Saccharomyces cerevisiae S288C: one gene and its partners. The gene in region 3 interacts genetically with the main gene of each other region. Each region holds a gene or a part of one and is shown on either strand. Other genes may lie near its edges. The genes, in order: ICS2, YEL025C, ZNF1 and SNA3.

Region 1 (5,119 bases), on a different chromosome or scaffold from region 3:
TACGAGACTCTGGCTTGGAGATGTCAGCAATATTCGGAGAAAGTTTTCTTAATGTTTTCTCTTTAATTTTCAAACGATGTGGCGTTTGCGACGTTGTTAAATTTTTATTTTTATTAGGCGAAATAGACGCTTTTGTTGGTCTCAAATAACCTCTTACAGGGCTTTGGTAATAATTTTTAACTTCTTTAGATGGCGAGCTTGAATCGACACTTATTTTTGTTGGAGAAATACTGTGCGGTCTTGAACCAGTTTTATGAACATCACTAGAGTGTTTGGACTTCTTTTTCTGTTCTGCAATGATTGCTAGCTTTTTGTGTGTCGTTAGCTTCAAAGAAGTCTTATCAAACCTCGGAATAGAGGATTTTCGAGAGTTTTTTCCTTTGGGTGAATTATTTTTGGTTATTTTATTTTTTACTGAGAATATATCTCTTAACGCTTCTTGCATATCAGTATCCGTGGAGTTTATTGACTTAAACTTTTGAGAAACTTTTTTCATGGGGGAGCCTGTTAAATCGATTGATGAAGAGGAGTATTTGTGACCAACGTTTCCACGGGAAATTTTGTTTTCAAATGATTTTGTTGGAATAGATGATAGCCTATCGAAAACACTGGATGCTTTTGTAGATCCCGCGGTATCACTGTTTTCCACAGCTCTTATAGCAGGACTATTTATCGTAGATTTTTTTTTAAATGCGATTGGTGATTCCTTTACTGTTCGTACTTTTGGTATTGATCCTGAAGATTTTGTTGGTGGAATGTGTTGAATAATAAGAGGATCTTTATTCGGCAGTGGAACAAACATATTCGACCTTCTTTGAGATCTCGCTATCCCAGAATTCGGTGGTGGTTTCACCTTTACTGATTCAGCTTTCTTTAAAGCTTGAAGTATAGGTTCATTCTCCATTTCTTCCTTAGCCGCCCATGTTTGATTATCGAAGCGTTTTGTATTAATCGGAGACTCCGAAGTCTTGGAGGATTCTCTTAGAACCTTTTCAACTTTGTAAGGTGACCATGGTGAGGATTTTTCGCTTTCATTGGCGTCGACTTTAACGCTATTCAATGGCTCAACCGGGCTTTTATTGGTATCATGTATACTAAATCTATTCATTCCTTCGGTGACTTCCTTCCTGCGGAGTGATTTAGGCGTGATACTTTTATCGTTATGTAATCCATTTCTGGGTGTCTTAGTAACGTCTTTTGCGGCATCATTCTGGGAGTTAGAAAGTTCATATTCTCCTTTCATTTTAGGAAATTCGACATCCATTTTGTTATGCGTATTTTCGGGGCTAATTAAAGACTCTTCCATCTTTTTGTCTTCATACTTGAGTGTATTCATATAAACATTATTTCTTAACCATTCACTACTTTCGTACAATCGTTGATTTATTTCTGAATGTGCATCTGTTGTTAGATTATTTAGATCATCGAGGGTTTCTATGATTGAACGGGTAGAGCCTGGCTTCCTTTGAGTTTTCTTCCTAGCTGCTTTGATTGCCCAGTCCATTGTTTAAATCTTCGGGCTCTTTCAAAGTCCGTCAGTTGAGGAGATACTTTGAAACGTTTTGTTTGTATCATTGGCAATACTTGAAACGAGTTTTTGTTTGTTTTCTTTTTTTAGTTAATTCGCGAAATTTAAAATATGAAGATCGGTTTCAGAACAGAATGGATCAGGCTTTTCCGCGTATAAGAAATAATAACACTGACATAACGCTATAACGAAACAGCGTAACAAAATACTCTTTACATGGTTTATTTTTATATATTCATTTAACATTATCAAAACTAACATTAAGTCCTTTATTTATCAAAACAAACGAAAAAAAAAAATGCGAGACAAATGATCCAGTCATTTATTGTCAATATCTAAGTCAATTAGTGGTTGCAATATGTCTCCAGTTTCCACTTTATGAGCAAAAATTTTGCCCTCAATATTTATCTGATTTTTTTCAGCGAATTCTTTCAAACTCCCGAATCTACCGCTTGCGTTTCTTCTTAATTGTTCATTGGTATTCATGATTGTGTTTTTCGGGGACATTTGGTGGGTATATGAAGTATCCGGTGAAGAATGATATTCTTTGTCCAAGAAAGAACTTGCCAATGAAGTTTTTCTTGAATTGACGCCTATGCTTGAATTAGAATCGTACCCGTCAATGAAATTTGGCTTACAAGACCTGCTGAATGAGATTGCATGACTTTTTCTGTGGTAACTTTTCCTTCGCCCTGAAGGCTTTGTAAGTTCGTGTGATAATGAACGTGAATGCGAATGTGATGATAATTCATTACTTTCTACCCTTAAAGGTGATACCGCATTAGGCTTTCTTGGACATATGGAGGAATTTCTCCTCGTTTTCACACCATCCTTGTCTCCAGGGAAAGAGTAGGTCTTCAGCTTGTTGAACAGAGCTTCGCCTTGAGACTCTTCAAAATAAAAGCTCTTTTCGTACTCATGGGGTTGTTTGCTGCTATCGAACTGAGATTCTGTTGAAGAGAGAGAGCTGAAACGTCCATAGAGTGGGCTGCCAAGTGATTTAATGGATGTACTAGATTGACTGCCCGTAGTAGGAAAACTAAATGTGCTTATTCTTTCTCTTTCTTTTTGCTCAAATTTGCCCATATCTTGCTGGAAAGGGAAACTTCAGTGAAGTAATAACGAAGGTGGTGTAGAGTATAAATTTTTATTAAGTATGCGCTTTGACGTTCACATATTTGTAAAAGATTTATTTGAGAAGATAGAATGGGTCTCATTTATTTATACTTAAATGCTTCTTTGGATGTCAAGCTTTCTTGATGCCGGACTTGCAGTCGAAGGGCTCTTTCCCAACAGATATGTAACCAAATGCGTCGAATAGAAAAAGAAAGTCTTCCAAGGAAAGTTTATTACGAGGGGTTTTGTGCATTAACGTGGCATATAATTAGGTATAAACTCAAGGTTGGCTTAAGATTAGCGAAACAAAAGTATAAACGACCCAAAATTGGAGTGGATGTGTTCTTTAACACATAAACTGTCGTACAAAAAAAAAAGAAACAAAGAGCAGTTGAAAGAACATCAAGATCATAAGGACCCCCATATCGTGATAATCATTGATGACCAAATCGTGAACTCCCTGCGCCTATGCCGTGCCATAGCAAATAAAGTACTGGGCTGGATTGTTAATGACTTGCATATTAACGACAGGTAAACGGTACCCTATTTTTCTTTTTTACGTGCTACGGACGAAAAGTGAGGGTGATTAACGCTTCAAATAAGAAACGACGGCTAGCAGGGTCTAGATGCGTGAGATGAGATAAGGAAAAGAGCTCTGTGTCCCAGGTAATAATCCCTGGAGAGATATAATCTTCCCTACAACTTGATTGCATATTAACGCTCCCAAGTTGTGGCCATTGAAGAGCTCTACAGCAATGTCCCGACGAACGGAAATAACCCTCTTTTTCATGATATTTTCGGAGTTATCTCCACTGTCAACAACTATTCTCGAATATAACAGAATGAAAGGGATCACGTACGCTTGTTATATTGCTGTCGTTCTCCGTTCGCAATCCCATTATATGCGAGGGGCAAAAGAAGAGACGGCCGGTAACTCATTTTTTGGTGTGTGAGAATTGCGGAAGCTTCGTTCTCCCACCTTTTTTCGCTGTGTTTTTCTTGTCCTCAGCACCGGCTGGTCAAGCCGGTGCTGAACGGCCGGAGAGAAATATAAACGGATGAAAACGTGTTAATAATTGCATCAGTAGTAGGTGGCGGGGTTGTCTCATTTTTGTTATGGCGTAAGGTGAAAAATTGTAAAGGATTGGTTCGGTTGGGTTGGCGACAATTAATTATGGGATAAAAAATTGCTTAATCTTTATTGGAGCAATTACCTGCATAGGCACTCATAGGCCACAAGGGTTTGATGGCGGAAGGATGTTATACCTACGATACTACCATACATGTGATATGTCACTTTCTAGTCCGAAGCGTGGAACATATTATCTTGTTTGACGTTGTGGGTGTTAACCGTAATTGTCTGGGTACGCCGAAGGCACGGAGACCATGTTAAAATATGTTTCTCTTTTTTGCTCATTTTTTTCTATTTTTTGCTGCGCATTGCCCGAAGCTTTTCTTAGTGGTAGTCTGCTCTCGCGCTCTTTGTTACACTCGCAAAATTTTTTTGCTGGGCAAAATAAAGCACTCTCCGGCCATTACTGGCTGTCGTCCGCCAGGATTTTCATTAACTTGCAGAAGTAAACAAACAAAACACAATTATGACACCGTGGAAGTTTCCTAAATGGTAACAAAAAGCTTAATTGAAAGAAAGAATTTCCTTCAACTTCGGTTTCCTGGTTCCGCTATTTCTCGCTTGTTTCTTCTATTGGACTTAGGATGTCTCATCAATCATCTTATTCCTGCTGGTGTTTTTTGTATCGCCTTGCCTTGGAGTGTTTATGCTTGTCCTTTGTTCAGTAACCATTCTTCAAGTTTGTTTCAAGTAGTAGGATACCTTCAGATATACGAAAGAAAGGGAGTATAGTTGTGGATATATATATATATAGCAACCCTTCTTTATAAGGGTCCTATAGACTATACTCTTCACACTTTAAAGTACGGAATTAAGGCCCAAGGGAACTAACAAAAACGTTCAAAAAGTTTTAAAACTATATGTGTTAACTGTACAAAAATAACTTATTTATCATATCATTTTTTTCTCTGTTTATTTCTTCTAGAACTTATACCTGTCTTTTCCTTTTATTCTTTGAATTTGGTTTAATATCCCTTTTTGGTTTAATATCCATCCATTCCTTTCACTTAGAACTAATAATTCCCTTCGTTTGATAATTTATCATTTTCCTTTTCTGTTAGTAAAGTACCCATTAAATGAAACTAGAACGCGTAAGCAGCAATGGCTCCTTCAAAAGAGGTAGAGATATCCAGTCACTTGAATCTCCGTGTACTAGACCGCTGAAAAAAATGTCACCTAGTCCATCTTTCACATCTCTTAAAATGGAGAAGCCTTTCAAAGATATTGTAAGGAAGTATGGAGGTCATCTTCATCAAAGTAGTTACAATCCCGGCTCAAGCAAAGTGGAGTTAGTAAGACCAGATTTGTCTTTAAAAACAGATCAAAGTTTTCTTCAAAGTAGT
Region 2 (8,122 bases), on a different chromosome or scaffold from region 3:
TGAAAACTATCAAAATTTTTCATCTTAGAGATTGTTTATAGCCCCTATTCTTACTTCATATCCAAACTACCTCATTTCAAGCTTCCTTTTTATTAGTACCATTATTATTGTTTAAAAGAGTATTACACGCTAAATATGTATATCTTAATTTTTAATGTGTATAAAATAGAAAATTTGAATATCAAGGAGCAACAAAGAGCATTATGCGTTTTAAGCTACACAATGGGTACGATGAGATCACTATACCTGTACTCTTAAAAGAGGCCCAACCTTATCAACTTCTATTGTTAAAGTAGACAATTGTATCGTTTCTTTTTCTTATCGGTTTTATCCGGGTAATAAATTCAGCATATAGAAAAATTTTTCATTTCTATTTTCTTTTTCTTTTCATTTTTCCTTTTTCTCAGAAAATTTTTTTTTCTAATGCTGGAATGAGATGAGTTAGAAAATTTTTCACTTTAAAACTGATTATTCTGGTTAATAGTGCTTATTCCTCTTAGTGTTCAAGTCCTACTTTCAAATCTTAATTTAAATCATCATTCGAGCGAGCTTTCTATACCAGGACCATACTGATTATTGCAAGGAACTTGAATAAACCAGATTTCATACTATAAAAACTATATTAAAAATGTCTGCCCCAAACCCAAAGGCTTTCCCATTAGCCGATGCTGCATTAACCCAACAAATCTTGGATGTCGTTCAACAGGCTGCTAACTTGAGACAATTGAAGAAAGGTGCCAACGAAGCTACCAAAACTTTGAACCGTGGTATCTCCGAATTCATCATTATGGCTGCTGACTGTGAACCTATTGAAATCCTATTGCATTTACCATTACTATGTGAAGACAAGAATGTTCCATATGTCTTTGTTCCATCTAGAGTTGCTTTAGGTAGAGCTTGTGGTGTTTCTAGACCAGTTATTGCTGCTTCTATTACCACCAACGATGCTTCTGCTATCAAGACCCAAATCTACGCTGTCAAGGACAAGATTGAAACTTTATTAATTTAAGTAGATTGGATTATATCTATCAACATAGTTTTTGTACCATCTATATACTATAAAAAAGTTTTTTGCTTTCCACTAGTGCAGACGCTAATAGTGCTGTTTTGTTAGTGGTATGATATATGTCATATCTTCATTGAATAACCTACTCGAGTGCATCTGTAAATGCACAAACATGTATTATCAATTGAGCTGTAGTAATTTAGGCATAACAAAAAGGTGCAAGATCTCATGGCACCTATTCGTTCGTAGGAGATTTATTGTCACCTTTTTAGTTTTACAGGATCGAAAAAATCTATGGTCTTGTATGGTGAATGATCTATATGTCTTCTCTTTGAATTTCTAGCTAGCTCATCAAAGCCGCTTTCATTTATTCCAGTCTCTTTACTCACGGAATATTGTTTAGTAACATTTCGCATGCTTTTCTCAGACCTTCGAAAAGCTCTTTTACATTCGAGCTTGATCTTTTTGTAATCATGCAACGTTCTCATCCACAGCTCACCAATGAATTCCGATATTATATAAATTTGGCCCTCAGTACCGCAAAGTAAAAATAGAGGTATGACGCCTTCCAACCTTTGACTATTGAAATTTGGACATATTTGAAGGTTTTGAAATCCATCTGGGATGGCCGCCAGTGAGATTATCTTATTAGGTAACCGAATTTTGAGGTATGGCATAGCCAACCCGCCCTTATCAACTGATAATTTAGAATCTTCGTATATTGTCAAGGTATTATCAATACCAATGGTGGCAACATAAGATCTATTGGAATATTTCAACGTTGCACAAGAAAGGTCTGATAATCGACCTAATAGATAGTTCTTATCACTCGCTAAACAATCGTTTTTAGGTTCTCTTAGCTTCTTAGGAATTATTTTAGTCGCCACTTGTGTAATGCTTCCCAACCGCTTAAAACCCAAGTAGGGACATTCAGGGTACTCTGATGGATATACTATGGACGTCCTAATTGGAAAGCGGGTTCTCAAAAAATCTCTCAAGATCTCAAATTGAACCAGATAATCACCACTCATATAAGCTGGAAGACCTATATGGTTAATCGATGAAAGTGCTGGGAAGGAATAGGCCTCTAAAATTTCCGCGCCCTCTTTTAGCATGTTTATTTTATATGCTGCTATGCCACTATCACCAGAAAATAAAACCAAGTTGCACTCATAGTATATGAACACCGAGAATATACAATCTTCGAGATAATTCGCGTACAATTGGGTAATGTTATTGTTTCTAATTTCAAACAGCCAGAATTTTGTACGTTTTTCACCAACTCCTAAGCATACAACAAACTTATTACCATAAAAGGGTCTCTGTGATAAGTAGATTGAGTTTTGTTCTGGCCACAGTGGCTTCACAACGGCATGTAAATACTTTTCATCCGAGAAACTGAATGTGGAAACTGCCTTCATTGAAGCATAATTGAATAGCATCAACTTATACTGCCTACTATTGCTATCGACCAAACACACCACGGCCTGATTGAGGTTATTTGGAACAGTATAGAGCTCTACGGGAATGCTAGGGAGGTAAAAGATATGATTTTCTAATTGAGGTTTTAATGAAGTCATCTGCTTAGTGAAACCTTCACGGTAAAACGTGCTACCAAACTCAAAGATGCTTATTCGAGAATCATAATCTAAAACACAAAGAGAGAACAGTGCTTTACCGGGTCGAATTCTCATTCGTCTTGGAACTAAGCCTAACTGTATGCAACCATAAGACATGTTTTGAAGATTTAACAAAATTATTTCCTTATCGTTGTAAAGGAAAACCAAAGGTAAGGAAGGAATCGTATCCAACAGTTCTAATTTCTGATCGTATAACGAATGAATCTCTAAATCCACTCTCAAAAAATTTGATTCTGATTTGTAGACTCTTACGCAGCCAGTGTATGATGATGCGATGACATAAATCGAGTCGTGTTTATGCTTTTTGCTTAGCCAAGATATTTTTATCAATTGATCATAGGCTATGAAAGAATAGTCTGGATGTGATGTAGCCACTTTCTTTTGATTGGCATTCCATACCGAAAACACACCGTCCAAGTAAATGACAAAAAGGTATTTCTCGGCACCATCTGAGAAACAGCTCACAATACTCTCTTTAGAATTGAGCCCATGGATAAAAAATTCTTCTTTTTTACGTAGAAAACCAGATTTTGCCTCAAGTATCGAAATCCTGAGCTTGGAGTTCTGTACGGGATAACAAAACATGGTGGAAGAGTTGTGGTTCGACTGCAAGAAATCGACCTGCCTAAATTCTCCGGTAGAACCATCCATACCGGCTTTCAAAACTTTTCCCGTCCTAGAAACAAATAGACCGTAATCATAAGGCTCATCCATTAAAAATATTCCGTTCTTATAAATCAACCCACCTGATTCATATGCAAATTCGTCACCACCATTAAGTGCTAAATCTGTAACCCAAAAATCAGTTACATTCTCTACTAGCGCTTTGGAGGAAGTCACTAACTTGAACAGGGTTTTGTCATATACCAAAATTTTCTTTTCTAAAAATCCTCTTCTTGAGTTAAAACTTCCACCCAAAAGCAGTGAATCAATATCTGTCCCCTTGTTTCCAATAACTTGTGATGCCAGGTAAACTTTGTTTGTATAAGCGGGACCGCTTTTCACCTTTTCTAATTTTGAACCTCGATGATCTTTCGATATAAAATTTACTCCATTTATTCTTGTCACCGCTATATACTTTTCACGTGGGAGCTGCAAAATAACATCGCATAGATCATGTTTAGGAGGCTTGAACACTCTTTCTTTTGTCCATTGTAGTTCTTTCAGGACGTGGTCTCTATGTAACGACCTAGTGTGTATCTTGGCAGTGTATTTGTTAGCATACACGTCAGAAATTGTCAAGAGAATGACTGATCTTTCATATATCACATCATAAGAATCTTTTAGAAATTGGTAGTTTTCTACATTTGGGAGACCTTTATTATTGAAAAAAGCCCCGTTTGTAAGCCCACTTGCTTTTATATTTATTATTTGAGTGTAGTTAGTAGTCAACACTACAATGGTATGGCCGCAAACTACCTTCATATAACAAAATTCATTATCACATATCGGCAAAAGATTGTATTGGCGGTACTCGTTTAAATCAAATTTCCTACTTCCATGCTTTCCAGCAAGATTGTATTCCTTTAAAAACAGGTTTTCACTATAGCAACTCTTAAGTAGGCAAAGAAAATAAACGTGTGATTTACCTGTGCATGTGGCGTCGTCAAGCAAATCCTCCCTGCTAATAAAATCAAAGGAGATAATTTCTTCGCCATCGGTGGCATAAAATCTTTCGACTATTCCTTCTCTGAAGTCAAAGGAGTAAATTGTCGTACATAACGTATGCAAATCACTATCATATGATATGTTTTTATTGCAAGTGTATAAAACACCCTCAAAGGAAGCATTTAACCAGCTGGAAGTTAATAAAGAAATAGTATCCAGTTTCGGAGCCACATTAGAGTCGTAGATAATTTCAAATTTGTTATTTTCGCATTTGAATCCCTTAATGGAACCGTCGTTAAACATTAGCAGGTGACAGAAGGAAGCTGACATGAACATCGGTACAGTTGCGTAGTTAACAACGAACGGTCCATCTAAAGCGAACTCAACCTTCGCTTTCAATTCGTTGGACGTTCCGGTATACAATCCATAGCTAAAACATAAAAAGTAACTTCCTTCGTGATGAAGACAACTTACCAGCTTCTCAGCCTCATCTTTTGATCTATAAGATGTTATGCATAAAGGTAAAAAGGCCGAATTGCTATCCAATTTTTTGCAGTCCGTTTCATCTTGTCTTGCCATTTTACGTGGCAATGGCTAGTGCAATATGCAATGCGCTAACGCTGACATTATAACACAATATATTTTTCTACCCTCCCTTTCGCTGAGTTGCGACCAGAATGTCTGTTTTTCAGTCATGTATTTCTTTCCGCTTTAGGCGTTCAGGCAAGCGCGTTCAGTTGAAAGCAAATAGAACCTATAACGACGAATACGCTTAAAGGAAGTATACAGGAAATAGAAAAAGAAGCGTACTGCATGTACTAAAAACCAAAAAAAACACCACATCGGCTCTCTGGTTGTATCCATACTTTCCCTAAAATTTTGTAACTCAAGAAAATACCTACATAAAACGATAATCAGTGGATTGCACTGATCAAGTCGAAAAACTCCGTACATGCCCGTCTATCCCTGTCTCATCCATATAAACTGAACTAGGTAGAAAAAAATACCTACCCTTTCTTTAACCGCCTGGTATATTAAATACCATTGTCAATTGAGAAGCTAACAGCCATTGTAAGAGTTATGTCCAGTGTCCGACTAAGACAAGGTAACCATACGTTGATAGCTATGAATACCCCAGAGGAAGATTATTCTTTCTCATAAATCCTTTTTATTGGTTTCAAAAATCCACCAATAAGTTCATATAGCTTGGGCGGCTATTCATGCGTAATATAATGTGCATGAAGTACGACCCATCGACTCTTAGAGCAAATGCTTCCTAAATTGAAATAACTAGCCGCCTTTAATTCGAGCCTTCTTGTCATCTTGTGTATTTCATCCTTTCAACTTCTCCTGTTCCACCTTTCACTCTAAGCTTCCCTATCATTTGGCCTCTTTCAGGTTCGTCCATAGCGCATCTTTTTCCTTTTAGACACTCCATAACGGACCAATCAGCGTTTTGCGCCATTTATCGGTCTTGGGTCACGTGCGGCGACGCGGAGGCTCCCTTATAAGGACTGGAAAAAGACCTGCAAGAACTATAGTTGGTTCTTGAATATCAAGTAATATATTACTTCTCTGTCGTAACTTTTTGTTGCTTTCAAGTTCAACGTCTTTTAAAAACCAAGAAATTATTGAACATAAATAATATCACTCTAACACTTATTAGGAAACCGAAAGGAGCAATAACAAACATGTTAGGAATAAGATCATCTGTCAAGACCTGCTTCAAGCCAATGTCTTTAACTTCCAAAAGACTGATTTCTCAATCTTTGCTGGCTAGCAAATCCACGTACAGGACCCCAAATTTTGATGACGTTTTAAAGGAAAATAACGATGCTGATAAAGGCCGTTCTTATGCTTACTTTATGGTCGGTGCTATGGGTCTTTTGTCATCTGCAGGTGCCAAATCAACCGTAGAAACCTTTATTTCATCTATGACCGCTACTGCCGATGTTTTGGCTATGGCTAAAGTTGAAGTTAATTTAGCGGCTATCCCATTGGGTAAAAACGTGGTTGTCAAATGGCAAGGTAAGCCTGTGTTCATTAGACACAGAACTCCTCATGAAATTCAGGAAGCCAACAGTGTGGATATGTCCGCTTTGAAGGACCCACAGACCGATGCTGACAGAGTCAAAGACCCTCAATGGTTAATTATGCTGGGTATTTGTACTCACTTAGGTTGTGTTCCAATTGGTGAAGCCGGTGATTTTGGTGGTTGGTTCTGTCCTTGCCATGGTTCACATTATGATATTTCCGGTAGAATCAGAAAGGGACCTGCCCCCTTAAACTTAGAAATTCCTGCTTATGAATTCGATGGTGATAAGGTCATTGTTGGTTAGGTTTGTTTTTCGTCCTCGAAAACTACATCTTTATTGTCTATTTGTTTCACCCTTATTTTGATTTTTCATTTACTATCCATTATGTTATGAACGGGAACTATACAACTAACCTAAGAATTTTGAAATCACAACAAAAATAATCAACATCACAGTCTCGAAGGGATTACGCTCAAAAAGGAACGAAAATCACTATACTGTATTCCCTGTTGATTTTCCTAAGAATATATTCTTATACAATATGGAGAAAACAAAAGGATAAGAAAAGAAAGGGGAAATAAAGAAGATTTGGACCTATTTATTACTACTTTTTTGTCTCACCATCTTCTTTTTCTATTCATAATATTTGATATTCCTTTATTTATCTGCATGTATTTATAATTAACGAAACTATTTATCTTCCCTCGTCCTGCCTTATCCTTCTTTTCTCCAAATGTTTTACCTAAGATTGGCCTGTATTTGAATATTGATGTCCAGAAGCAGAAGATTTCACATGTTGTATAAAGTATACAAGATTGTAAAAATGATTGAAGTATTTTTATATATGTATATTACCTATAAAATTTTTTATATTACGTACCGAAGGGGTTTTTTTAATGCTAAAGCGATTCATCTTGCTGTAGGTATATTTTTAAATCATCTGGAATATCTGTCCAGGAATTACTATCCCAGTCCATGAATTTCTTTTTTAATTGGGAGTATTTACTGTCAAATAATCTTGAATTGTATGTCGTTGCAAAATAACTTGCTTTTTGACCCATGTGGAGTTCCTGCCCTTCCTCATTATCAAAAAAGCCCCCATTGATTTCACTCCCGTTGCTATTATCTTGCTTATCATATTTATTTGAAACTTTATTACTTTTTAAATCAATACCTTCCAAATCTTGGAACAATTGCCTTACATATTCCGGCATATTGTCCGGTCTATACCTACGATCAAACTTAATTCTCCAATAGACTGACCAATGTAAACTGACATATTCGGGTACATAACGAGATCTTCCGAGGTTAGGTGTATGAAAATTTTGCCACTTTCCTTCTTTATTTTCCATTCGTATTCCAATGGGGAGCAGTTCCAATACCCACCACACCAATCTCATAAATTTATTTGCATGTCCACATTTAAGAGTAAAAGCATCCTTCACTTTTTCTTTTTCATCTTTCAAGCTCAATCTAGTCTCTTTTATATTTTTTAGACAATCTTCCATTCTCTCATTTCTGCCAGATTTATCCTCTCGGGCTCCATCCTCATTATCACTCACTCCTAGTAGGGAACATTTCTTTGGTGAGTTGAAACTAAGGTAATCATGTGTGTCTGCGAATAAAGATCCAATCGAAGTGTGTTTGGTAGCGAAATCATGTATTGCACCAGGTTTGAATTTAACACCAAATTTGATTGCCTCTGCTAAAATCCATCGCAGCGTTAAATTTGACAAGTTCTCTTCTGTCTCACAGTCAGGCGCCCAACCTCCACCAACGTCAGAATGATCACCTGGAAACCATTTTTCAATCAAGTCGGGTGTCATAGTCAT
Region 3 (5,663 bases):
CACCCTTGGTAACTTATCTAAGAACACGCGATGTAATCGAAATTTAATAACCTAAAAAAGAAATAGAGATCGGTGACGTTTGACGCTAGCCAATCTCCACGAGATTTATCTGGAAGGGCATCACCCGTCAAAACACTAAGAAATTTGACACCTTATTTTTTTTTCTCCGAAACGTTCTGAGACGTTTCTTTTTTTTTCAGGACGCCACCCTAAATCCGAAAAACCTTACTTGGCATTAGTGTTGTAAAAATTTCTTTTTTCCATCGTGGTTCTGAAAAGCTTGCAGAAAAAAAGTTCGAGAACGTTTTCGTATGACTTATTAAGCTGCCCTTGAACTTGCCTTCCCTCTTCTTTACTATTTTCAGCCAGGGACAGAAATAAAGCAAAATCGTTTAACTTTTATGACCGTAACAGGTAACAATATCTGCTCAATTCGGTTAGTAAAAAAAAAAAGGTTATCGTAGGTTTACTATTTTCACATCGGTGCATAGAATCTATACTCTACTTCCTTTGGAGGGAATTTAGTAGTGCTCGATTAGCAGATAACAGCGCAGGGTTCTATGTAGTACGAAGCACTATCAGGTTTTTTAACGTACGTGAGTTGTTTTTTGTTTCTAATTTTTGGCTTGCCTGGGATAAACGGTGCCCATCAAATTATTAAGACCTGGTGAAAAGAGCGTACCTACATGGGTATCGGGGTTTTTGCCAGAAAGAGCTTTAACTGCAATTGATGCCTACCGGAGATTATTTTGATATCAAAATGCAGGAACGATATCTACTTCCCTAAAGCAGAAAACAAAACATTTTTTTAAAAGTCTTTCTTATATAAAGGTAACCTTCATTTCATGATAGCCAGATGATAATCTTAATGTAACAATTGGAGGATACCAGCATCCCTCCACACCTTCAAATGTCTATACCCCATTCCGTATTTTCGGCACTCTTGGTCTTCGTGGCGCTAGCTACTACAACCTTAGCCAGTACAGAAGCTTGCTTACCAACAAACAAAAGGGAAGATGGTATGAATATTAATTTTTATGAGTACACAATAGGCGACCAAACCACATACTTGGAGCCTGAATATATGGGCTATGAATACTCCAATACAAAGAAGTTAGGTTCCGTTAGCGGACAGACCAATCTCTCCATATACTATAGTCCGCCTTGTGAGAGCACTCCTACCTGTGTGACTTATGCAGTTTTGAAGCGTGATGAGGATGGATATGATCCTTGCGGACCTCTTTATGAAACTAAAAAACGTGACACTGAATACTGTGACCCAAATACTGCCTATTGGAGTTCTGATCTTTTTGGTTTCTATACTACTCCAACTAATGTAACTGTGGAAATGACAGGGTACTTAATATGGAGTATGGGCAACCGACGCCGTTGAACCTCTCCTTGGAGATTCTGATAATTTTATGACCATGACTTCTCGTGCACCTTACAGGAAACTTTAATGGCCTGATAAGTACAGCTATATTGTGATCACAATTATTAAAAACTAACTCATTTCATCTATAACCAAGTACAAATCGCACGACTATCATGACGATAAAAGCGTATATCCTTGATTTAATTCACATCACAATCACCCCCCTTGAAAAAAAAATAAATTTTTTTTCTTGCTATAATAGCATAATTGTCCACAAGTTCACTATTAGTGCTATCATTCTTCCCCACTGCCGCAAAATTGCAAAGGAAATAATTGTTTGCCCTGCAGGAACCATATACTAAAGAAGAAATAGATGCTATTAGCCTCTTCAACTGTCCGTAATCACTACATCTTGAAAGGTAAAATGCAAGTAGCAATGTGTTTACTTAAGGAAGCGCATCTACATCTTCTTTAGAACCATCTGTCGATTCAAGCGGATTAGAAAGAGGAAGCGTGATAAGCGCACACTGACACTTTGTCGTAAACTTATCAACTAATGTGCTATCACAATGCTTAAGAGAGAAGACAAATTTGGATATATCGAACAAAAAATTCCAAGCCTCCGACTCTGCATTTTGATCGTACTGATTCACAACATCTACCAATGCGTCGGCTATTTCTAGTGCTTTCACTGATATCCCTGGACCGTGAACTGCATAAAGATTTTTTGGGATTAAAAATGTGTCTTCTAACATGTCTCTAGCAATTTCTACTGGAATATGCGTATTCTTGCTATTTGAAAGGAAACTGATTCGCATACCGCTTATTTGAAGCACTAGCTTCCAAGCAAGTGTTCTAATCCAATGCCGTGAAAAAGATATGTCTACATAGCCGTAAGACCATGGTTCTATCTCAAGTGGCACCGTATGAAGTTCCCTCCATATCTTTTTAAGGGAGTCTTCAGTACAGGTTACATTAGCAGAGTCGGTAGCTAGAGCATCAAAGAAGCATTTTCCCGGTACAGTAAATACCCTAATCATCTCCAAGAAGCTGTCGAGAGATAGTCGGGGGTCCGTTACGTTCTCCGGTTGTGGTGGAGCAATCGTGGTATCCAGGCTCGTGGCGCAATGCGTATACACAGAAAAGTATCTTTCCGTTAAGAGAAGCAAATAATAAACTTTCCTTCCAAGCTGCTGCTCATCGAAAGGAAGAAGTTTCAAAGTTTCCTCGCGATGGAACCCCGCCAACTTAATGAGCCCCACGGCTTCACAAGAAAGCCGATACGAAGTTCTTGAGTTGGACATCTGTGCGTAGCAGCGGTTTAGACAATAGTACGTCATAATCTTGAATATATCACTACCGTTAAAATCGTCAAATTCTTGGCGTGATGACATGCAGAAACTGGATAACTGTATCCCAGTAAAGGTAACCCCTCCTTCCGACTCAATTTCAGTCTGCAAATCGCTAAGCGTGGCGGCAGAAAGAGATACCAGGAACCAATACACACAGGTTTCGTCATATCTTTTCTCTAAAAGTTCGTAAAGATCATCATAACACAGCAAAGGCCAGATCACATACAACTTATCATTATAGAGCCGCAGACACTGATCAATTAGTGCCTTTGGAACCTTCATTATGCCACCACTACTACTTTTACTAAATACCTGTACATCATCTACTTTCTTTAAATTTCTCACCTTGACGGGTTTTGGACCTCTTTTCTTCAAAGGTCGAAGATATGTACATTGCAGATTGTGTTGAAGACAACATTTACATGGTTTTTTACGATCACACTTTACTCGACGAATGCAACAACAGTCGCACGCTTGTCTATTGCGGGCCATCTTCGAACTAGAGCTCTTTTACTTTAGCTCTTTTGACAAGACAATGAAGCATTTCTTGAAGGTTTTCTTCTTTTCTCCGTATTTAAGTCAACAAGATATAGCTAATTTATTAAGCCGGGGGTGGGGAAAAACGCGGTAGTAACGTGGGGTACTTTAAAGTGGGGGAGATGGCACAGACAAAGCCGCAGGTACCTCGAGAACTCAGGGGAAAAAGGAACGCAGTTCAATAAGCTACCGATTTGGCAGATCTCAGGAGTAAAAATATAAATCTTAGTGCACATACAAGTGATAACTGCAACTCCAGATTTTTCTTTCGGTCGATTCGTTGATGCAACAATGTCGAAATTATAGTTAGGCGTTTGTTCCTGTAATTTAACTTCAAGTGGAGGAGTCAATGTTCTTTCCTATGTTCTATTTGTGGGATAGAAAAGTTAAAAAGAAGGTTTTTGAGTATCCCAGTGATAGTGCAGTACTACTTCTGTGTATTCCCGATTATTACAACGGCGGAGTTTTTTTCGCATAAACTCAGACTACTAAGTAACTCTCGAGCATCGTGAAGATCCTGATACTTTATCTATGCATTACGTACGGAACGGAGTGAGGCCTTTCTCCAGAAAAATCGTTGAGATGGCATGTAGGTTCTAGATTTGTGACGACACTCAACAAGAAAAGTTTGAGGTGAATATCTTACCCGCGACATCTGGAGCGAGAAGAAAGCCGTAATCGATAACGTATTCTCTCAATGCTGTGGCGTTTCAGTAGTATTTTGTTATTACCGACGAAAACGGTTCCTCAAGAAATAAAATATATCTAGAGGTAAGTTGCAAAACGCTAGACTATTTATGGCAAGATTAGTATTTGCTGTCGTGATATCATAAGTAGAGACACATGTTCAGCTTCTCACTTGAATTTAGGTTAGAACAAAATCTTTAAACAGCAGTTACAATGAATGTTTGGGAGACCTAGTCAGTCTCCATACTGCCAAGAAAAAGGTTAGTCGAACTGGAAAAACAAGGCTGTACTGCACCCTAATGTTTCTTAGTAAGCAATTCGCTATCGACGCCGAATACCATGAACATCAACCTTGTGAAAGCTTTCGCATATTGGCGCTCAAGAGATATAGACGGTACTAGTGAAAGAGAGACAAGGCCGCCGGATTACTTGCTCTCGTCATTGTAATTGTTCAATTTCACAGACATTTCTCTGGCATGTATCCATTGGGGCACCACAATAAGGGAATATTTTACAATATCGTAAGCTGTTCGTAATACGCGGCTTCTCTTTACTCAAAGCCCAATGAATCCTGGCTTCGAAAATCATACAAACTGTGAAATCTACTTATTTGAAATGACAAACACTGCTTCCCAGTCTGGAGGCTCTCTTTGAGGATAACTAACATGTATGGCTAAAAATAGTTAAAATAATTGAGACGACATTGCACTTGCTATAATCAGACTTCAATAACATATGCATACAAGAAACTTCTCTTTTGAAATAGGAGCGGGGCTCCATCACAAAGAGATTGAAATTTGATACTAGCTCTAAAATCGAGGCAGGGATGTTCCAATGATCGAGTTTGTCATGAAATATAAGGATGTTCACGTCAAGCTCGAGAAATGTTTCAAAATACCGCGAAATAACTCAAAAAGCTGGGTCACGAAGAAATGATTCTAGAAACAGGCGCTTATGCTCTTATATAATGAGATGTCTACATCGTCAGAACTAAGTGCGAAGAATACGGCCTACATTAGAGATTCTTCAAGGTAGTGAAACGTATTCGTGGCAGTGGTTATGGAACTGCCTTACGGTTGATTCAAAAGACTCATTGCATACTCAATTTAAAACGGCTCAAATCATTTGAAAAAATAATAGGCAATATAAAATAGAGAAATCACAGCACCTTGACGGACTGATATTACGAATAACGAGTATCATTGCCAAAGTTTGGCGTATGGGCGACGTGCGTCCATGCAAATCTACAGTAGATATTTTCAAAAGAGATCATTGTCAAAAAGATAACTAACTACTCATGCTTTGAGGGCATGCAAAGTTTCCAGAAAAAAAAAGATGAACCACACTTAAGCTGAAGCAAATTATAAGTGTTGAAATGACTAGGCGCAGTTAATACGCAACTCAATCAGTCAACACAGGCTGGTTACTTTCTAAGTTACAGCATAAGTTTAGAGTAATTATTGAAATCTGTTGATATAGGTTGATTTCTTAGATGCATGAAATGCAGCAAGATCTTCATATGATTTCAGAGATTAGTCAAAAAGTTGTTAACAGTCATGCATAATATCACTAATTGGTAGAACAAGAATCAACTACTTTATTTGTCAATATTTTCAGAGAAAAATTGATGTATAGGGTTGACCATAAAATAATGAATGACACCATTTTTTTTTTGAAAGAGAAAACAAGATACAAACATTTAAAATATGCTG
Region 4 (4,613 bases), on a different chromosome or scaffold from region 3:
ATGTCATTCAACATCAAGAATCTCAAATGAGGAAAACTTTTCAAAAAAGTAACGTAAATCGACTTGAAGTGATGGATAAGAGCGTGATAACACATAATAATATCTCTTTTGGTCAATGATTCATGAGGAAGTTCCAGGTCAGTGGAAATTGTAGCTGCTGTGTCATCACTACTTGGAGGAATGGCCGCATTAATTTCATCATCATCATCATCGTCATCGATTATTATCATTTCGGGCTCGCTCATATGAGCGGTTGATGTGGAAGTCACGGTGGAGTGTTGATGTGGGTTATTAACGATTTTGGGCACCAACTGGGATTTAGAATTTCTATATTCCAAAAGGTTGCGGTTCATCTTGGTCACAAAATTAGTCAAATTCATTGGTTGTGTTCTAACGCTCGGATAAGCATCACAAGCTTTAGAGTATGGTAACAAAGATAGGTATTTCATCATTTTAAAAATATCCTTTGCAGCAATGTCTTGAAGATCGTGAATATAGTAGTCTTCAGGGAACATGAATATTTTGCCCTTCAGAATGTCACTGAATACTATTTGACAGTTTGTGCAGTTGCATTGCTGATTTAGTTGGAACTTATTTTCTTGAATATTGATGATTTGTGGGATAAGACCGTCGTATCTCAGATCTATGAATTGCAATTTGGAGCAAGCTAAAAGAATGGAGAGAAATATGTGAGGATTTGTGGGTTCAGGTACATACTCCTCTAAGAAATCCATTTTTAGTCTTTTCAAATTGGTTAACGAACTAAAAAGATCTACGAGGATATGAACATCCTGCTTAATAGAAATCAAAGACAAATCTTCCAGGTTCTCAAATTCTTTAAAATCTTTCAGCATTTCTGTCTCGCGTTTTAACAAAGTGTCATTCCAAGAAATGATGGTAAGAATTTTCAATGTCCTCTTGTCAAAAACCTCCGATAGTTTAGTCAGAGGATTGCCGGGTCGTATCTTTTTAACAAAATAATCATTATTGTAAAACTCCCTCCTCCAATGCAATTTTAAATCGATGATTTGTAACTTGATATCTAAAGGGTAAAGATAATTGAACAGTTTTAAAGGGTCGATGAATAAAGTCATATGAGAAAGCCGAGAAGAGATACGCTGTGAAAGATATTTGGTGAGATTCGGAATGTAATTTTCGGGAACAACCATCTCAGGCAATGAATTTGGAGGAGCCATGTCGAAACTTGAGACGTTGCTCCTGGAAAAGTGACCATTGGAGATGATATCGTTACAAGCCGGGTCAGTGACGTTTTCTAGTCTTTGCAAGGACTTGCCCTGATTGCAAAGGATGCTGAGAATGGACCTTTGCAAGGTAGAGTCCAAATCCCAGTTGATCCTTATCCACTGGATGACTTCAGTAATGTGAATATTATTTTGCAGTGTTTCTATAAGTTTTTTCAATTTGCAGTTGGCGATATCGCGGGACTCCTCTTCTTTCAACGAAGACGGCAAGTTCAGTAGGGTCCAATTAATTGCGAGATGCATGAAGTCACTCTTCACTACATTTGAGTCGTTCAAATATATTCTTCTATAAAGCAGTTTGGTAGCGATCTTATTCAACCTTTTGTTCACAAGGCAAAGCTGCAAGCGGTCTGGTTGCGGCAAATGAGAGAATACTTCTTGCATGAGCTCATCGGGGAGCTTTGTTAGCGGGAACACGTAGTTTTTGCTCTTGGCGGCGAAATTTATGTTAATATCGTTAATATCTCGTAGCGCTGAAGCATCTGCGTTACTTTTATTGTTTCTGTTAATGAACGCTGCTTTTTTCTTCTGAAAATAATCTTGAAATGGCATGATATGAATATAAGCTGAGTTGTAAACACTGTGTATAGACGTCCTGGATATTTTGCACGGAAATCAGATCTCCATCGAAATCTACAATTCGCTTATAATCTATATATATTCCTCTTTGTGTGGGACGATAAAGTAGGGTAATACTTGCAATGAGAAAGAATACTCTGGTGAACAGGTGCATTTTGAGAGGGAAATAGGAACTAAGAAAAACAAGTAGAGGAAAAGGGGTGTAGTGCAGTGCAGTAAAGCGTTGCATTGATCGTATCTTGATAGATATACCGGTATATTACTGAACGTTTACATTCACCCTACAACATTTATAAATCTTATATATTATACATGCAAACTCGTATTTGTGAAGTGGGCATATAGTTTTTCGCTATGTATATAGCGGATGAGTGCGTTGGGATTACTATTTCTTTAATGCACGTGATGAAGGCTCGTTTTCTTTTTTTTTTTTTTTTTTTCTTTTTGGGAACGGGGGAAAAGGTCTCACTAGTATATAAAGGAAAGAGAGTACAGCACGAATGAGCCAGCTGCAGGAAAGGGGCTAGGTTAAAAAATAAAAACCCAGCAGAAAGCAAACAACCAAATATAATTTAGAAATGGACAGAGACCATATTAATGACCATGACCATCGAATGAGCTATTCCATCAACAAGGACGACTTGTTGTTAATGGTTTTGGCGGTTTTCATTCCCCCAGTGGCCGTCTGGAAGCGTAAGGGTATGTTCAACAGGGATACACTATTGAACTTACTTCTCTTCCTACTGTTATTCTTCCCAGCAATCATTCACGCTTGCTACGTTGTATATGAAACGAGTAGTGAACGTTCGTACGATCTTTCACGCAGACATGCGACTGCGCCCGCCGTAGACCGTGACCTGGAAGCTCACCCTGCAGAGGAATCTCAAGCACAGCCTCCAGCATATGATGAAGACGATGAGGCCGGTGCCGATGTGCCCTTGATGGACAACAAACAACAGCTCTCTTCCGGCCGTACTTAGTGATCGGAACGAGCTCTTTATCACCGTAGTTCTAAATAACACATAGAGTAAATTATTGCCTTTTTCTTCGTTCCTTTTGTTCTTCACGTCCTTTTTATGAAATACGTGCCGGTGTTCCGGGGTTGGATGCGGAATCGAAAGTGTTGAATGTGAAATATGCGGAGGCCAAGTATGCGCTTCGGCGGCTAAATGCGGCATGTGAAAAGTATTGTCTATTTTATCTTCATCCTTCTTTCCCAGAATATTGAACTTATTTAATTCACATGGAGCAGAGAAAGCGCACCTCTGCGTTGGCGGCAATGTTAATTTGAGACGTATATAAATTGGAGCTTTCGTCACCTTTTTTTGGCTTGTTCTGTTGTCGGGTTCCTAATGTTAGTTTTATCCTTGATTTATTCTGTTTCATTCCCTTTTTTTTCCAGTGAAAAAGAAGTAACAATGACAGAAGATAATATTGCTCCAATCACCTCCGTTAAAGTAGTTACCGACAAGTGCACGTACAAGGACAACGAGCTGCTCACCAAGTACAGCTACGAAAATGCTGTAGTTACGAAGACAGCTAGTGGCCGCTTCGATGTAACGCCCACTGTTCAAGACTACGTGTTCAAACTTGACTTGAAAAAGCCGGAAAAACTAGGAATTATGCTCATTGGGTTAGGTGGCAACAATGGCTCCACTTTAGTGGCCTCGGTATTGGCGAATAAGCACAATGTGGAGTTTCAAACTAAGGAAGGCGTTAAGCAACCAAACTACTTCGGCTCCATGACTCAATGTTCTACCTTGAAACTGGGTATCGATGCGGAGGGGAATGACGTTTATGCTCCTTTTAACTCTCTGTTGCCCATGGTTAGCCCAAACGACTTTGTCGTCTCTGGTTGGGACATCAATAACGCAGATCTATACGAAGCTATGCAGAGAAGTCAAGTTCTCGAATATGATCTGCAACAACGCTTGAAGGCGAAGATGTCCTTGGTGAAGCCTCTTCCTTCCATTTACTACCCTGATTTCATTGCAGCTAATCAAGATGAGAGAGCCAATAACTGCATCAATTTGGATGAAAAAGGCAACGTAACCACGAGGGGTAAGTGGACCCATCTGCAACGCATCAGACGCGATATCCAGAATTTCAAAGAAGAAAACGCCCTTGATAAAGTAATCGTTCTTTGGACTGCAAATACTGAGAGGTACGTAGAAGTATCTCCTGGTGTTAATGACACCATGGAAAACCTCTTGCAGTCTATTAAGAATGACCATGAAGAGATTGCTCCTTCCACGATCTTTGCAGCAGCATCTATCTTGGAAGGTGTCCCCTATATTAATGGTTCACCGCAGAATACTTTTGTTCCCGGCTTGGTTCAGCTGGCTGAGCATGAGGGTACATTCATTGCGGGAGACGATCTCAAGTCGGGACAAACCAAGTTGAAGTCTGTTCTGGCCCAGTTCTTAGTGGATGCAGGTATTAAACCGGTCTCCATTGCATCCTATAACCATTTAGGCAATAATGACGGTTATAACTTATCTGCTCCAAAACAATTTAGGTCTAAGGAGATTTCCAAAAGTTCTGTCATAGATGACATCATCGCGTCTAATGATATCTTGTACAATGATAAACTGGGTAAAAAAGTTGACCACTGCATTGTCATCAAATATATGAAGCCCGTCGGGGACTCAAAAGTGGCAATGGACGAGTATTACAGTGAGTTGATGTTAGGTGGCCATAACCGGATTTCCATTCACAATGTTTGCGAAGATTCTTTACTGGCTACGCCCTTGATCATCGATCTTTTAGTCA

The links.
Region 1: mutations in ZNF1 (region 3) and ICS2 together harm fitness more than expected from each alone (negative genetic interaction), as found in Saccharomyces cerevisiae (one large-scale study listed by BioGRID).
Region 2: mutations in ZNF1 (region 3) and YEL025C together harm fitness more than expected from each alone (negative genetic interaction), as found in Saccharomyces cerevisiae (one large-scale study listed by BioGRID).
Region 4: mutations in ZNF1 (region 3) and SNA3 together harm fitness more than expected from each alone (negative genetic interaction), as found in Saccharomyces cerevisiae (2 studies listed by BioGRID).

What each region holds. Positions count from the first base shown.
Region 1 is NC_001134.8:551,697-556,815, forward strand, and holds ICS2 (Ics2p), read right to left. Parts: upstream 2,615-5,119; coding exon 1,847-2,614; downstream 1-1,846. Other genes in the region: SLI15 (Sli15p), read right to left, coding at 1-1,504; AMN1 (Amn1p), read left to right, coding at 4,853-5,119.
Region 2 is NC_001137.3:101,315-109,436, forward strand, and holds YEL025C (uncharacterized protein), read right to left. Parts: upstream 4,834-8,122; coding exon 1,267-4,833; downstream 1-1,266. Other genes in the region: RNA binding protein SNU13, read left to right, coding at 629-1,009; ubiquinol--cytochrome-c reductase catalytic subunit RIP1, read left to right, coding at 5,946-6,593; YEL023C (uncharacterized protein), read right to left, coding at 7,190-8,122.
Region 3 is NC_001138.5:25,788-31,450, reverse strand, and holds ZNF1 (DNA-binding domain containing protein), read right to left. Parts: upstream 3,220-5,663; coding exon 1,822-3,219; downstream 1-1,821. Other genes in the region: YFL051C (uncharacterized protein), read left to right, coding at 911-1,393. UniProt on the Saccharomyces cerevisiae protein: Transcription factor that regulates respiratory growth and plays a critical role in stress adaptation during non-fermentative growth.
Region 4 is NC_001142.9:134,580-139,192, reverse strand, and holds SNA3 (Sna3p), read left to right. Parts: upstream 1-2,419; coding exon 2,420-2,821; downstream 2,822-4,613. Other genes in the region: SCF ubiquitin ligase complex subunit DAS1, read right to left, coding at 1-1,814; inositol-3-phosphate synthase INO1, read left to right, coding at 3,260-4,613.